2 linked regions of the Alligator mississippiensis genome follow. The protein of the gene in region 2 purifies or fractionates together with the protein of the main gene of each other region. This does not show direct contact. Links are inferred from orthologs where the notes say so. Each region holds a gene or a part of one and is shown on either strand. Other genes may lie near its edges.

Evidence for each region.
Region 1: the proteins of RELB (region 2) and NFKBIE purify together in Homo sapiens (affinity purification with mass spectrometry; 3 studies listed by BioGRID and IntAct, counting the BioPlex papers as one, with this or other methods). This does not show direct contact. The link is inferred for Alligator mississippiensis from reciprocal best matches to the Homo sapiens genes RELB and NFKBIE.

Annotation. Positions count from the first base shown.
Region 1 is NC_081824.1:169,791,277-169,800,037, forward strand, and holds the start of NFKBIE (NF-kappa-B inhibitor epsilon), read right to left. Parts: upstream 3,655-8,761; 5' UTR 3,540-3,654; coding exon 3,235-3,539; intron 1-3,234. UniProt on the Homo sapiens protein: Sequesters NF-kappa-B transcription factor complexes in the cytoplasm, thereby inhibiting their activity. Sequestered complexes include NFKB1-RELA (p50-p65) and NFKB1-REL (p50-c-Rel) complexes.
Region 2 is NC_081838.1:226,812-235,194, reverse strand, and holds the start of RELB (transcription factor RelB), read right to left. Parts: upstream 3,943-8,383; 5' UTR 3,869-3,942; coding exon 3,814-3,868; intron 3,735-3,813; coding exon 3,681-3,734; intron 3,315-3,680; coding exon 3,306-3,314; intron 2,269-3,305; coding exon 1,766-2,268; intron 1,358-1,765; coding exon 1,200-1,357; intron 371-1,199; coding exon 279-370; intron 1-278.

The sequences.
Region 1 (8,761 bases), on a different chromosome or scaffold from region 2:
AAGTCGCACAAGGCAGGAGCTATCTTCCCGCTGCTGTTGGGTCATGAGCTAAGGTGCAAGGGAATGCTGTGGGTCAGTGGGTCTGCCTCTGCAGCTGAAGGAAAGCTAGCCATGCAGTGCACTTGCTGCTTCCACCCAAAGGCCTCTAAACACTTCCCTGACGAAGGGACTTTGATCCTGAAAGCTTGCAGAAAAGGACAATTTTCTTGCCATTTTCCAATTGGTCTAATAAAAGGTATCATTTTGGAACCAAGAGTTCTAGTTTTTGTATGTCTAAACACTTCACAAACATTTGTTAGTTGGACTTGATCAGTTCCAATTTACACACAGGAAAATAAGGGACTAGAAGAAGGCCGGGGCAGAGCAGACTCCCTGCCCGAATCACTAGAACACTCCTAGAGCTGGGAAGAGAACCCAGAAGTGCGGATTCCCCATCCCTCTTCTCAGCATTAAACTACCCCACTCCACCTCACTTTGGCTACATAAGTAGCAACCATTCCATCCCCTGTCCCCCCCACGCACTCTTTAGATTTCCTGTTTTAAACTGCATTGTAAGTAAGCAAAAACAGAAGAGCAGCTGCAGCCATTTGGAGAGCCTCTGCGCAGCCACCTCCTGATGGGAGGGAGCAAAAGGCAGCAGCAGCTAGCCCAAACTGACCACCCAGTGGAGTCTGAAGATAAGAGCAGGCAGCTTAGCTGACCTAAACCAGCATAGAAGACATTTGAATCCGAGTGAAATGAGTTCAGTGGTTTGCTGCCTAACACCTGGAGGACACCCGATCATGTGTTTGCCCCTCCTATTAATGGGAGGTTTGGATCAGGCTCTGGACAAGCTGGTTTGACAAGCAACTGGCTCAGTCACCCCTACAAAAGATGGGATCAAACCCCTCCCCCCCAAATCAATTGAAGCATTTACAACCAAAATCACCCCAGGGACACAATGGGGAAGGGAAACTGGCAGTCACCAAATGCACCACAGACTCACAGGCCTTGGGGCTTGCCCTTACAGGGAAAGTTACTCATTTTAGTTGTATCTTGCTTAAGTGTATCCACGCAGGCAGTTATGCCAGTGCAACTGAAGTGATCACGTCGGGCATGGAAATTTCCCTGTGTGGGCTACAATGTCCAGATGAGAAAATAAAGAGTAACCAATGCTTGAACCATGCTGGGGGTGGCGGGAGGGGACACGGTTTCATTTAACCTGGCTTGGATGAGGTTTGCTGCAAGGCTGTCAGTCTTCTCAGCATGTCCCACAACACACAGGAATGGACTAATTAGCACATGCCTTCTTCCCAACCAGGAAATAAACACATAGCTGAGATGAGACCAGCTTTTATCAAGCAAGAAGCACCTCCTTGGGTGAGCCCAAGATCCTCCCTCTCTGCAGCTAACAGGACCTTTGATTCTCTGCTACAGACATCTTGTTCAGTGGCTTCTGTCCCCCTCCAGTTTCTCTTCCTCCTGTACCATTATTCAGTACTGTATTCAACTCTGGCCTGCATCCAGGCTGTGGACCAACATTTCAGCTATTCAAGCAGCTAAGACACTCATACACATGCTCTTTGATTTTGTGATGGAAACATCCTGACAAGGTAAAGGGTAACAGGAAAAAGGAGCAATTAGCTGAACTCAGTTACCAGAAGCCAAAGCAAACAGGTTCAATACGGTGCGTCTGCACCACGCACTGATGTGCAATTAGGTCCTCAAAGACAAAAGGCACCAAAAGCTGTAGCAGAGAAGCAGCAGAGATGCAGGATAAGGCCAGTGCCTCTTCAGGAACTTACGTTACAGAGTCATCAAAATTCACGCTGCTTTGGTCATAGACCCCACAAAGCAGACGGGCTAGCTGCACATGAGGATTTACATTCAGAAACCAGCCACATCAAGAGACTCGTAGTTGTTCCCTAGCAAGGCTCCAACCCACAGAAGAGGTGGGAGCTAGGCTCCCCTCTACATAACTGATTTTCCTCAGGTAATCATCTCATGCAGCCAAGCCATTCACTTGGCAAATGAAGCTTTGTGCTTTGGTGGATGAAAAGAACACTTATTTTTTTTCCTTTTGACGTAGAACCCCCCCCGCCACCTTCCATTTTTCCTGGCAGCCGCTGAATAGGCCGAAACTCAAACTTTGCACTGTGATGTGTGTTTCTGTATTGCTCTGACTGTTCACCCCACCCGGAACCCCAACTTTGCATTTCCCGCAACTCTGAGCGGCAAATGGATTGGAGCGGCTTCTTCCCCCCGCCCCCGTCCCCACTTGTTCCGTTTACTTGGCTCAATTGTAGAGTCCCTGGTAAACGACCAGCATATTTCACTAGGACCAAAAAAAACAAACCCTGAAAACCTGAGAGAGAGAACATGATGGCCCCGGGGTACCAGGAGGTGGAACATGTCCTGCCTAGTCATTAGCTACAGCCTGGTTTGGGCAGGGGGGTCTCTGGACTAAGGGATGGGAGCTAACCTGCATGGTCAGTACTTACAGTCTGGCTTGGGGGGTGTACAGAGCAGGGACAGAACCTTTCCCGCACGGTCACTACTTGCACTCTGCTTGGGGGTCTATGGGCCAGGGGAGGGCATCTTTCCTGCCTGGTCACCCGTTGCAGCCTGGTTTGGGGGGTCCATGGACCAGGGATGGGACCTTTCCCCCATGGTCACTAGCTACCACTGGCGTGGAGATCTATGGGCGGGGCGGGGGAAGATCTTTCCTGCCTGGTCACCAGTTGCAGCCTTGTTTGCTGGGAGTGTCTATGGACCAGGGATCACCAGTTGCAGCCTGGCTTAGGGGTCCATGGGACCTTTCCCCTGTGGTCACTAGCTACAAACCTGCATAGAGATATAAGGGGGGGGGGGGGGGAATCTTTCCTGCCTGGTCACCACCTGCAGCCTGGTTTGGGGAGACCTAAGGACCAAGGTCTATGAACCAGGGATCAGAATGAACCTTTGCTCCGTGGTCACTAGCTATGACCCGGCATGGAGATCTATGGGCCAAGGAAGAGAATCTTTCCTGCCTGGTTTGGCGGTCCATGGACCAGAGGATGGGACCTTTCCTGCCTGGCCACCAGTTACTCCTGGGGAGGGGACCCATCTGAAAAAAAAAATAAGAAAAGACCCCCTAAACCCAGGGAACTTTCCATCTTGAGGCTGGCGGCGGCGGCAGCGAGCCACCTCCGCAGCCGCCCGTCCCCCGTGCCAGCCGGGCCGTGGCCGCGCTGTCTGCCAAGCCGCGGCACTCACGTGTCTCCATCCTCCGAGATGTAGGCGAGCGCCTCCAGCTGCTGGTGGCTCAGGCCGTGCAGGGCGCCGCGCTCCTCGGGCTGCGGCGGCGGCGCGAGGGCGGACAGGGGCTCGGTGAGCGAGGCGGAGCCGTAGCTGGAGTCCACGCGCTCCTCGGCTTCCAGTGCCTCCTTGCCAGGGCCGCGCGGCTCGTCCCGGGGCCCCGCGGCGGGCAGCGAGCGCAGCGAGCGCAGCGAGTCGATGCCCGAGTCGCACTGCCCCTCCTCGGCCTCCGCCGGCCCCTTGCAGCCCTCGGCCCGCGACATGGTGCGGCGCACGGCTCACAGCAGCCCGGCCCCAGCCCGGGAGCCCGGCGGGGCACTCATGGCTGGCAGCGGCCGAGCTGCACCCCCGGCTCCTCCTTCGGGCCTGAGTCACCGCCGCCCGGGATTCCCCCGGCTCCGCCCCGCCCCGCCCGGGGAGGCGCGGCGCGGGGCTGGGCTGGCTCCTCGCTGCCTCTGAGGAGCTGGTGGACGCTGCTCCGGGCAACGGAGGGTTGCCAACCCTCCCTGAGTCTCCAGGGATGAATCAGAGAGAAATCTCCAGGACACTGCTGAGAGTCACCTGGAGAGAAACGATAGGGCGTTCGTTCAAATTAATACGATGGGTCGAATCCGATTTATACAGTAGTCCAGCGGGTTTTTAAATGTCATGGTAGTGCACGTTTGCCGCCCTGACGTAAAGCCTAAGCACCCTAATCCAGAACTGATCAGTGCCTGCGCGCAGGTCATTGGCGTTGTGTTGCAGTCGTTGGTGTGCCTGAAACTGTCCGGAATAGATTCGAACAGAGTTGGCAACCCTAGTGAAACTCCCCACAGACGGGCTTGTTTGATGAGCCAGGAAATGTGAGTCTAGGCCCAGCAAGTAAAGCTGAAAAGCACCCCCTTAAGAAGGGGGGTCATTAAGAGCACATCAGTGAGTGTTTGGGATGCATGACAGGCAGAACAGGGAGGGAAAGGGCGGTCAAAGTTTTAAAATGAGGGTGCCAAAGGAGGACATGGAGCAGAACACACTTGGCAGCACCCACTAGCCCTCAAATGTGTCCAAGGAGCCAGTGGATGCTGCTCAGTGAAACTCGGCCTGGAGACAGGCCTGTTTGATGATGAGCCAGGGAACATGGGCCTAGGCCTGCCAAGGCAAACAATGGCCACTGGAGGCCACTGGGCACAGCAACAGATTCCTTGAGACAAATGGAAAACAAAACAGGGACGGGAGTGAAGGCACAGGTTCATGATGAGTGCACCAAGAGGAGACTCAAAGCAGAGCACATCAACCAGCCAGCACCTGCTGGCTCCCCAGTGCATCCAAGGAGCCGGTGGATGCTGCCCAGTGAAACTGCTCAGAGATGGGCCTGTTTGATGAGCCAGAGAACATGAACCTAGGCCTACCAAGGCAATTTATGAGCCTCCCTTGCTAAGGGAGGTCAGTGGGCACACCAACAGATTCCTTGGGGCAAATGAAAAACAAGACAGGGATGGGAGCGAGGGCACAGGTTCATGATGAGTGGTGCACCAGTGGGGTATGTAGAGCAGTACACACCAGCCAGCACCCACTGTCCCCCAAACAAGTCCAAGGAGCCAGTGGACACACCCCAGTGAAACTGCCCAGAGATATAAACAGATCAGGGACAGGAAAACGGCTCTGCAGTCCTCAGGGATTCCCCCTCACCAGAGCCTCCTTCCTGGTCAGGTGTATTGCTCTGGTTTCATTCAGGAGGGGACTAGCTAACCAGGTGTTTCCTTAGCTGGCACCTGAGGAGGATGTGGCCCTTTCCTTGGAGCTCTGGAAGGTATTTTAACACCCCCTGGCAGCAGCAGGATGGTGCCTGCCACAATCCCCCTGCTTTATCTGTGAGCATGAGTAGATCTAGGATTTTGAAAAGTGGGGTGCAAGTGGTGAGAGGCATCAACTCCCATAACACAATACATATTTTGCTCCAGTTATAAAGAAACTAGAAGCTTTACTGATAGGCTAGGGTCCAGGCCTGTATTATGCAGTTGAAGATGGAAGCAAAAACAAATGGGACCTCACTGGAAGGAGTTAAGATCTGCAGGGCTGTGAAATAAGAGCATCCTCCCTAGGAGCAGTGAACAGACAACAGCATTGCAGAACAAAGGATAGCTTGATTGATGAAACATCAAGACCATTATAAAAAAGAGGGAGTCATTAACACTGGTGGAATGAAGGGTTCCCCCATCCCATCTAAGAACCCATCTGTAGATTATAATGAACCATGAAGTCAATTGACTCCCTCAGTGCCACCTGACTAGGAATGCTGCTACCACTGCCAGGCAGTTGGTTTTAAACTTTGGAGGGGGGCAGGAATAAAAGGGGGTGCAAGTGCACCCCTTTTAATCTACCCCTGCCTGTGACAGGTTGGGTTGCTATGTCTTGTGGTTGTGTTGGGGTGAACCAGCTAGTTTTGCTAATAGGTGGTTCCCAATCTGTGGTACGGATACCACCAGTGGTATGCAGGCAACCTGGCAGTGGTACACATTAACAGATTTATTATAATTACTTTATATGACAAAAAATTGCTGGTGGTACTTAAGGTTGGACTGAAAAATTTGCTGGTGGTACTTAAGGCTGTATTGTTTAAAATTGGTGGTGTGCAACTGTCAGAGTTTGGGAACTGCTGGATTCTCAACCAAGGTGCCACAGCACCCTGCGGTGCCTTGAGACCCTTTCAAGGGTGCCATGGGATGCCACATGATGTTAGCCCTGTCAGGTGAGCACACGTGATGCACAGGATAAACCCAGAGATTTAAAATAGGAATCCAGAGTGTTAAAACCATTTTGACCAGTTTGGGTCCTTCTGAGAGGTCTTTGCAACAAAAGAATTGCTCTGTTGTTTTCCTGTAGTCAAAAAATTAGTGAAAAGTAAGAGCTGGCATTTTCCAAGGGGGGCCTCGAGTCTAAGAGGGATGCCTTGAGCTAAACTAGAGGTGCCTTCAGTTTAAAAAAGGTTAAAACCCACTGGGTTAGACAATGGATAGTTTGGATAGGAATGATCCTGCCTCAGGCAGGGAGTTGGACTCACTAGATGACCTCTGAAGGCCTCTTGCAGCCCTGCTTTTCTATGATTATGTGTGTTGTTACTGATAGTAATTTACACTGAACCACATAGTGTTTTATACCAGCCATAACCAACTTGGAACCTGGTGGATTCCATAGACTCCACCGGGCAAGCTTAAAAAGAAACTCGTCTGCAATTTTTCCTGCTTCTGGCGGGGTCTGTCTATGTGAGCATGAGCAACAAGGACTGTATCCCAATGTGGCTGTGTGTGCCAGACACATGCTCTATGTGGTGTTTCTGAGTGATCATTTCCTCCCCTGGATTACATTTGTTCAGGATCTGACACTTGCCTCTGTTTATTATTGTCGGTTCTTTAAATATCAGGCAAGTTTGCTGTGGGAGTGAGAAGGATCTTGCCAGGCCCAGCAGAGTTGTGACTTGACTGTGACATACACAGGTACTGACTGAACCCTGGTGGGTGGAGAAAAACTAAACTGAATACATGATTTAAGAACTTTGCTTTACCTACAGAGGGAGGTATCAGGAAAGCTTTAATATAGGGAACTGCAGCAAATCCTTCTTCAGCTTTATGTCATTATTTGTTGGAGGCTATGACACGGAGGGGTGAACTGACTCACCCAAGGTCATGTGGCTCACTAATAAAAAATTATCAAAGGTTTCCCTAACCCTAGCAGCCCACTGAGCTAGCATGATTACAGCACACCAGCTTCTGGGGCCAATGGCACACAAAGATTGGTATAGCTGACAGCACATCTTACCACCCTTGATTCCCCAGGCCAAGTGACCAGGTATTCATTCATGGCCAAGCCAAGTGGGGAGCAGCCTTTTGCATGAGTTCAGAGAGAAACTCACACCACTTGAGTCAGCAGGATACATCACCTGCTCTGCCACTGGCCCCCCTACAGCTTGGGAGAAAACAACGTGTGGGAGTTCTTGAGCCCAAACAGGAGCTATGTCCACTACCTCTTACTCTCCAGCTTCAGCTTAGCTATAAATGAGAACTCACAAATCTAATCTAGGCCATCATCCTCACTGCAAACGTGACTGATCTGTACAACAGATTTGTCATGATCAAGTCCAGTTACATTTCCACTGTCCCAAGCAAGCACAGGGAAAGTCTAGTAGCAGACCTTGTTACCGGAACACTTCTCTGGAGGTTCAGCCCTGTCTCCTTTTGCCCAGCAATCCCATGTCACTCCTAGTTATTTTCTCTTGAAGCCCTCAAGGCACTTCTCTTCCTGGAGGTTTTCACTTTTCAAGGGCCTGAAGACAGATCTTTCCAATAAGAGGGTGTGCCTGGGAGAGCTGATAATTCCACCAGGCATGTCTTTAGTCCCTTTGCCAGCTGATTTGAGAAGCACCTTACTCCTTTGGGGATCAGTGCTAAGGAAGCCAATACAGATCAGACTGTATGCAAAACTCAACTTCCCCTTGCATTGCTATGTCTGTTGCTATGAGATGGCATGAGCGTGCGTCATAGCTGCTCACATCAGCCATTCAGGCATTTACCCAGAGCCCTTGCTGTGTGCAAGCTAAACAAGAAAACAGTGACCACATATTAGTGGAGGTCAGCGGGCAGACTCCGGAAGCTGGTGGTACCATCAGTAACTTTCAGTCACAAGTTTTCCTCTTGCTCATGTGATTCATCTCACTATGTCAGTGTCCCTGCTTTAGATTCTGTTTCTTCAGAGTCTGGGTCTGCCCTAAAGTACCCGTGGCTGACCCTCCTATCCCCTCTGGTGCAAGGTTAAATAATCTTCATGTCCCAGATCTAGAATACAACCTTCTTAACTCAATCCTGGATCTGAGGTCCTCCTGAGAGAGTGTCCTGTGCAGGCTCCTTCATATTAGCACATCAGTAGAAGTCCCTGAAAAGTCCCTCAGGAAACACCTGACAGTAGGGGAAGAACAGGCAACTCTGAAAACATGCCATGTCCTTCCTGATGTGATGCAGGAACCAGCCCTCCCAATCTTTTTCAGCTGCAGTCAGTAGTACAGGCACATGTCCTTCAGGGAATACCCATCCCCGATGCCCATGAATTGTGCGTCCTGAGCATCTCTGCATTCCAGTAGGTGGCTTCCATTCCCCGGATATGAGTGAATCTTTTCAAGAGGCTTGGGGGCAGGAGGGTGGGGGGAGAATCATATCTAGGAGGCTGTAAGAGGGTTAGTAAAGGCAGAAAGGTGACCTTCACCCACCCCAAGAATTTCCATGATAATCGTTTATCTTGTGGGAAATGGGACATTGGCACTAGTCACCTGTAAGTTACCTCCTAAGTAACCTCAAGTTGTGCATTTCCCTCATATAGTATTCTAGCCCCACCATGACTGATTTCAGTGCACTGCTGGAACATAGTGTTGTCTGACAGGGGCTGATGTTTCCTGTGTTGCATGCCTAGTGGCAGAAAAGGGCACAGAGATCCAGCTAAGCTCCAAGATGTGCCCCAGTGA
Region 2 (8,383 bases):
GTCCCAATCCAGACAGCTGCAAGCCCTGAGCTACGACTCGACTGTGCCACCCACCCGCTCCACATCCTGCCTCCAGAACCAGGTGCGCAACACCCCCTGCAAACCCGGGGTGGGGCCAGGCCAGCAGAGGAGCTCTGGGATGCAGGGCACAGGGTCAGAGGGGCCTGGGGGTGTCCCCATGGGACCTTGGTGGGCTCCCAGATCCCCTCGGAGCTCCTGGGCTGGGCTGGGTTGCAGGCAGCGGGTGTGCCCCCCCCCCCCCCCCCCGGGTCACCCACCTTTGAAGGGGTCGATGCCCAGCTGTAGCTTCTTCTCGATGGCTCCCTCGATCTCCTTCTTCTTCACACACTGGATGCCGAGATTGCTGAAGCTGCCAGGGCCAAGAGGGCATGGGCTGGAGGCTGGCCAAGCTCCGTTGTGCTCATGAGCTGCCCTCCTTCCCTGCCCTCAGCCACGGAGGGGGCACCACTGCATGGGGTGCTGCCATGTAGCACCCAGGGGCCATGCCAGCCCCAGCCCTGGCCCCACTGGTCCAGCCACTACTGAGCATGGTTCCCCCTGGGGCTCCTCCTCCGATCCCTCTGCCTCCTTCAGAGCTCTCCCAGGCCCAGAGAGAGACACGGGGATGCCCAGTCCCCACCTTCTGCCTGGCCCCAGCTCCACAGGGCCCCTTCACCTTCCCCACATGGCAGCCAGCTGAGAGGCCAGGTGGGAGGAGCTCTGAGGGGATCTGGGAGCCCACCAAGGCCTCACGGGGACACCCCCAGGCCCCTCCGACCCTGTACCCATGCCTCTGCCCTGCCTGGACAGGCCTCCACCTCCGCATGGGGCCCCCTGGCTTGGTGTGTGCCCCTAGGCTGCAACCTAGGAGGGGCTGCTCTGGTCCCAGGGCCAGGACCCCGAACCACCTGGCTCTCCCACCCCAACCCCTGGCAGCAGCTCCTGGGAGGTGCTTGGTCCCCAGCCAGCGGGACGGAGCCCGGGGCACCGCAGCTCCGGCTCCTCCAGCAGACAGGGGCTGGGGTGCCAGGGGCTCCGTTCTAGCCCAAGGGCAGGGAACAGCGAGGAAGAAGCCACAGCACTGGGAAATCGCTGTCAGGCCACGACTGTCCAAGGGCCCCAGATACCGAGCCTAGGCCACCCCCGGGACGGGGCCATGTGGAGGAGTCTCCCAACCCCCAGGGCTGCGCGGCTGGTACCTGTGCTTGGGGTTGGTCTGGGGCTTGAGGGTGACCTCGCAGAGCCCATTGCTGCAGTCCTTGCCCACAAGGCCGTGGGGGTGGATACGGAACGGCCAGTCCTTCCACACCAGGCAGGCCGTCACCTTCACCTCTGGGATCTTCTGGCAGTTCAGCAACTGGGGAGACGCCAGAGGCTCATTGCAGGGGGATGGGGTGGGGGAGGCTGATACAGGGATAACAGGGAGAGAAACCAGGCCCCCACCCTGGACAGGGGGCTCCCAGCCCCTCTCCCAGGGCAGGTTGGGTCCCCTGCGGCCAGGCCAGGCCAAACAGCTCAGCCCTGTTCCAGCGGGAAGTCCAGTTCTCATTGTACGAGAAAGTGGAGCACAGGGTCCAGAGGTGCCCCCACACTTGCCCCTGGCTGGGGGAGATGTGATGGTGCCTGGGTCCAGGGTCCTACCCCATCGTGGGGGTGGGAGGGGAGGAGGGGTAACCCAGCCAGGCCTGCCTGGCTGTCCAGCAGGAGCTATTGGGGGCAGGGGGTGAGCACAGGGCCCCTGCCCAGTGCCCTGCCCCCTCCTCACCTCGATGGCTGGCAGGGTCTTGCTGGCCTCAGTGCTACTCTCGCCCAGGATGCTGCCAGCTGACCGGCCCTCACACTCATAGCGGAAGCGCATGCCCCGCTGCTTCGGCTGCTCTGTGATCACCAGCTTGGGCGGCTCCAGCATGTCCTCCAGCTGCTCCTTGGCCGTGGGCATGGACCAGTGGTGCTGGGCGGGCGCGGCGGTGGACGGGAGCGGCGTCCCCCGTGGCACCAGCCTCGGCGACAGCGTCAGGTTGCCCAGGCTCTGGGTGAGCTGGGGGCCCCGGGAGACAGGTGGCAGCAGGGGGGAGTCTCCAAAGGGCCCCAGAGTCCCTGGCAGCGAGCCGGACCCCAGAGGCTGTGAGTGGCGCAGCGATCTCGTGGGCACCATGGGGCTCGAGCCCCGGGGCACCAACTTGGCCGGGCCCTTGGGCATAGGCCTGGGCAGGAAGGACGGGGCATCCGGCTGGAATCCATCCTCCTTCATCAGCTCCTCAATGATCTCTGTGGTGGGGGGGGCACCATCAGGGCACAGCTGCAGAGACTTGCCCGGGGGCAGCGGGAGCAGCCAGGGGTTGGCACGAGTCACAGGCAGCATTGGGATGTGGTGGCAGGAGCCCTCTGCCAGCCACAGCCATGCACAGGGCTGCCCACCCTGGCCTCTGAGCCCTGCCCTGCACACACTGCCACAATGCCCGCCTTCCTCCCGGCACGTGCCTGCTGCCAGGTAACAGATGTGGGCAAAGCCGCTGGCCTGAGCTCCAGCACCACCCAGCCCCTGCAGCAGGGGAGCTGATCCAGGGACTCAATCTCAGGGAGGGAGGGAGGGGGGCATCTTCCAGCCTGGCTGCTGCAGCATGGGCATGCCCAGGGCACTGCTAGAAGTAGTCCCGGGCCCCACCCAACACCTCCCAGCAGGACACTCCTCCCCTAGTGTAGATGAAGCCCTGCGACAGCAGTCAGTAACTGCGCGCCAGGGTCGCTGGCCTGAACTGCAGGCAAGGGCATACCCAGCCCAGGGGAGCCAGGCTGAGTCGGCCAAGGCTTCTGCTGCCAGGTGGATGTGGAAGGAGAAGGGGCAGGGGCTGGGCACAGCCTCGCTTCCCCGAGCGCCCAGCAAAGGGCGCTGCCAGCACCTGCGGCAGCCAGCGAGTGGCCTTTGCTCCGTGTCTGCCTAGGGTAGGGCTCCTCTGCCCCAGCCCAGCTCCTGCATCATGGCACCAAGAGGACAGGCCCGAAGGCAGAGGTGGAGCCGCATCGGGGGAATCACTCCTGCCCAGACCCCAGGGCTCCGCGGGGGCCGGCAAGCTTCTCCCGTCTCCATGGCCTTGCAGCAGCTGGCAGCACCTACGGGTCCCCTGGCCTGGGCTCTGGGCAGGGGGGCGCAGGGGCTGGAAGCTGCCCCGACCCCACAGACTGCACCGCCGTCCCCTGTCACCGTCACGCCAGCCAGCGGGTCCCGCAGGCTGCGACCGCCCTGGCAAGCCCCAGGGCTGCACGTACCTGCTCCTGCCGCACCCCCACGCCCAGAGGTCACTCACCTAAATCCTCTGCAGAAGAGAAAGGAGAGGCTGGCTCTAGTTTGGCGCAGGCGGCTGCTCTCCCTCCCCCTGCCCAGGAGCCCAGCCACCCGCCAGGACCCAGGGCTGGCAGGAGCCCCCGGGCACCAAGCCCAGCGCCCGGCGCTGCCCCTGCTCTGGGAGAGCTCCTGGGGACGGGGGCTGAGGCTGTCGTGGGGCAGCGCAGGAAGCCCCCAGGATCCCTCTGCTGCGGGGGCCAGGGGGCATGCAGAGGGCCCGAGATGCCCGCGGCCCCGGAGCAAAAGCTCCTCCGCCCCGGGAGCTGCCTGCCTCAGTCCCCCCTGCTGTGAAACGGGGCCGCGCGGCGCGGCGCGAAGCGGAGCCCCCGGCCCTCACCGTCCGCGTGCGACGCCTGCGCCATGGCCGGGCCGCGGTCCGGGGCGGCGGCTCCTGCGGAGACACGAGGCCCGTTACCCCGCGCCTGCCCGGGGCGGCCCCGCGCCCGCCGCCCAGCGGCCCCGCGCCTCACCTGGCGGCAGAGGCCCCCGCTCCCGCCGCTGCTGCCGCCCCCGGGGCTGCCGCATCGCCTCCCGAGCCGCGCCGCGCCGCGCCGTGCCGCGCCGAGCCGGGCCGGGCCGCGCCGGGCCGCGCCGGGGGCAGCGCGGAGGCGGCGGCGCTGGAAATCCCCGGCTCCGCCGCCGCTGCCATTGGCTGCGCCCCGCGCTGAGCTCATCGCCCGGCGGGGAAAGCCCCGCGCCCGGGGGGCCGCCGCAGCCTCGCGCCCCCGCGCCAGGGGAACCGGAGCCCGATGCACGGCCGCCGGGGCCGGGGGCTCCGGGCCGGAGCTCCTGAACGCCGGGGAGCGGGGCAGCTGTGCCCTGGCCCTGGGCAGGGCATGGGGCAGCCGAGCCCGGACACGGACACGGGCACGGGGCACACACAGGCTGTGCCCTGGGCTGAGCGGTGGGCCCTTGCGAGCACGGCAGGACGGAGCCCAGTGCAGGCGGCGTCTCCCCAGGGCCGTGTCAGCAGGGCTGGGAACGCCTGGCCGCCCCGCAGTCCCTGGGGCAGCAGACACCAGACGTAGCCAGCTGGGGGTCAGGGCAGCCTCGTGCCCACCGCAGCCGCAGCCCATGATACCTGTCCAGGGAGCCGCGGCAGGCCGTTCTTGCCTTGAGCTGGCACAGCAGAGAGCAGCAGAGCTCCTGGCTCCGGTGCTGGGATCCAAGTGCCCTGACTGCCCTGGGGGGCAAAGCCATGCTCAACACCCGAGCTCAGCGCTCACCGAGGCTCTGGGCTCTCAGTTCCCCTGTGCCTTGGGAAGAGGTGAGAGCAGCACAGGACTAGAAGGCACAGCTGGTTCCTCAGCCCCCGGTGAAGCCAGAAGGGCCTGGGAATGAGGGTGGGTGGGCGGACGGGGCATGGGGGAAGGGTGCCACGAGGCAGTGCCCCAGCCTGAGTCAGCACGTGGAGTCCGGGGGACCTGGAAACACTGACTGGTAACCAGCCAAGGAGCCCCAGCCTCCACTTTCCCTGGCGTGGGAGGGGCACACACAGGTTCTGCAGCGGAGAGCACATGCCGCTCTGATCTCCCGGGAGGCTCGGAGGTGCTCTGAGAAGCATGGCCTGCCTCCTTCCCACCCCCAACCCACTCTCCCCACCCAGCCCATGGAGGGGGGACCAGCTTCCAGACTGGCTCACCAGGCACAGGTGACCAGAAAATCAACTCCCAATGAGGAAGCTGGATCTGACACCCCCTTGGTTGCAACCACACTGCAGAACCTTGCACCAGGCGCCTGCATCAGAGACCTTGTGTAATGTGTGTGTCGGGGGGGGGAGGGGGGGGCAAATGAATCCAGTTCTTAATCTAATCCAAGTGCCAATTCAGTTCTGCGTCTCAGTAACTGTCTGCAAAGATCCATGGGCCACCCACTGACAACCTCCCCCAGACCCATAGACCTGGGAGTCTAGATGTTCCCCGTATCCAGGTGGCCAAGCTACAGACAAGTCCTGAGCCAGGAGGCCTGGGGATCGGATGCCCCCAGTCATACTTGATCATAGCAGAAGGCCGAGAACCACTAAATCAAATGACCTCAGAGACCAGCCTCCCTGTCCCATCTGGCAGCACCATCGTGCTGGGCTCCCAGAGCACGTACGTGGCACAGAGTGGCGCTTTCCCCAGTCACTTCCTTGGGCAGAGGGGGCTGCATCTGAGCTGCCTCTGGACTAAGTGAGCCCAGCCTGCCTCCACTGATGCAAGGCCGGGGAGGGCTGTAGCTGCAGGTAGCTCAGAGGCATTTCTCCTCTGGCAGAGCTGAGGGAATCAACTGACTTCATGGCCCATTATACTCTCCTAATAGCTCTTCATTCCACAGGTGTGAACCACTCTCTCCCTGTGAACAGTCCTGAGGTTTCACTATTCAAACTCTCCTTCCTTCTGCAGCACTGATGCCTGTTAGCCATTCCTGGAACTTCTCTCCCATTTTGCAGCCCTGTAGGCTGTTTTTAGTTCAAGCTGAAAATTTTAACTCAGAGGTAGTGCGATTGACTTGTCTAGAAATGACTGACACAGTGAAGTACTGGAGACGATGTTAAGATGCTCAGGGATACTACATGTTGTTTTACAAATCTGGGTAAGAAATGCATATTTAACTATAAAAGCTACAAGACTAATGACCAGGGATCCTGGTTTTCACTGATTTAAAAAAAATCCCCCATTTTCGGTTAAAAAACCAACCCCCAAATCAACATTTTTTCCATGATTTAAATGAAACACCACTAATATATAGCTACCTATATATTAGTGGTGTTTCATTTAAATCATGGAAAAATGACATTTGTTTTTGCTTTAATCTTAAACAGAATAACACAGTGCTAGGTCCCTGGCATCTTCATAGATTCATAGATGTTAGGGTCGGAAGGGACCTCAATAGATCATCAAGTCCGACCCCCTGCATAAGCAGGAAAGAGTGCTGGGTCTAGATGACCCCAGCTAGATACTCATCTAACCTCCTCTTGAAGACCCCCAGGGTAGGGGAGAGCACCACCTCCCTTGGGAGCCTGTTCCAGACCTTGGCCACTCGAACTGTGAAGAAGTTCTTCCTAATGTCCAATCTAAATCTGCTGTCTGCTAGCTTGTGGCCATTATTTCTTGTAACCCCCAGGGGCGCCTTGGTGAATAAAACCTCACCAATTCCCTTCTGTGCCCCCATGATGAACTTATAGGCAGCCACAAGGTCGCCTCTCACCCTTCTCTTGCGGAGGCTGAAAAGGTCCAGTTTCTCTAGTCTCTCCTCGTAGGGCTTGGTCTGCAGGCCCTTAACCATACGAGTGGCCCTTCTCTGGACCCTCTCCAGGTTATCCGCATCCTTCTTGAAGTGTGGTGCCCAGAACTGCACGCAGTACTCCAACTGCGGTCTGACCAGCGCCCGATAGAGGGGAAGTATCACCTCCTTGGACCTATTCGTCATGCATCTGCTGATGCACGATAAAGTGCCATTGGCTTTTCTGATGGCTTCGTCACACTGCTGGCTCATGTTCATCTTGGAGTCCACCAGGACTCCAAGATCCCTCTCCACCTCTGTGCCACCCAGCAGGTCATTCCCTAGGCTGTAGGTGTGCTGGACATTTTTCCTCCCTAGGTGCAGCACTTTGCATTTCTCCTTGTTGAACTGCATCCTGTTGTTTTCTGCCCACTTGTCCAGCCTATCCAGGTCTGCCTGCAGCTGTTCCCTGCCCTCCGGCGTGTCCACTTCTCCCCATAGCTTTGTGTCGTCTGCAAACTTGGACAGAGTACATTTGACTCCCTCGTCCAAGTCGCTGATGAAGACATTAAAGAGTATCGGTCCAAGGACCGAGCCCTGCGGGACCCCACTGCCCACACCCTTCCAGGTCGAGACCGACCCATCTACCACGACTCTCTGGGTGCAACCCTCTAGCCAATTCGCCACCCACCGGACCGTGCAGTCATCCACGTCACAGCCTCTTAACTTGTTCACCAGTATGGGGTGGGATACCGTATCGAAGGCCTTCCTGAAGTCTAAGTATACAACATCCACCCCTCCTCCTGTGTCCAGGCGTTTCGTAACCTGGTCATAGAAAGAGACTAGGTTGGTCAGGCACGATCTGCCCGCCACAAACCCGTGCTGGTTTCCCCTCAGCATAATCTGCCCTGCCGGGCTCTCACAAATGTGAGCCTTGATAATTTTTTCAAAGACTTTGCCTAGGATGGAGGTGAGACTGACCGGCCTATAGTTGCCCGGGTCCTCCTTCCTCCCCTTCTTGAAAATGGGGACCACGTTAGCCCTTTTCCAGTCCTCCGGGACTTGGCCCGTGCGCCATGAGCGTTCGAATATTCCCGCCAGTGGCTCTGCAGTGATGTCGGCCAGTGCCTTCAGCACCCTCGGATGGAGCCCATCTGGGCCTGCCGACTTAAAGGCATCCAGTTCTTCCAAGTGACTCTGCACCATCTCAGGGTCTACGCATGGCAGTCTGGCGCCTTGCTGCTGCCTCTCTGCAACCCCAGTGAGAGACTTGTCGTGCCCCTCGCTTAGGGACACTGAGGCAAAGACCTCGTTGAGGAGTTCAGCCTTGTCCCCCCTGTCTGTCACCAATTGCTTCTGCCCATTTAGCAGCAGTCCTATTCCTCCCTGGGCCTTCCTTTTACTCCCTATGTATCTAAAAAACAATTTCTTGTTGTCCTTTACTTGGGTTGCCATCCTCAGCTCCATGGTAGCCTTGGCCCGCCTAACTGCCTCCCTACAAGTGCGAGCAGAGGAGGTATATTCATCTTAGTTAAGCCTCTAGTTTTTCTTTAACTAGACACAAACGTGCGTCACACCCCACTGTTCAAAATCCTGCATCCACCCACACTGTGCACCAAAAAGCGACGTGGCTCTTCTATGATGGCACCTGGCTTGGCAGGACGGGGAGCCGTGCGCGAGAAGGCCCTGTCTGACTTGCTAGCCTGGCTGCAGAGCCTCGCAAGGCAGAGCGGTTTTCAGGAACATCTAAATGGCTGCACTAAGAAAAACTGGCCTTTGAGCCACGAGCAAGCCTCGTCCTTAACCGCGACGCTGCCCATCTTCCGCTGTGCTCGC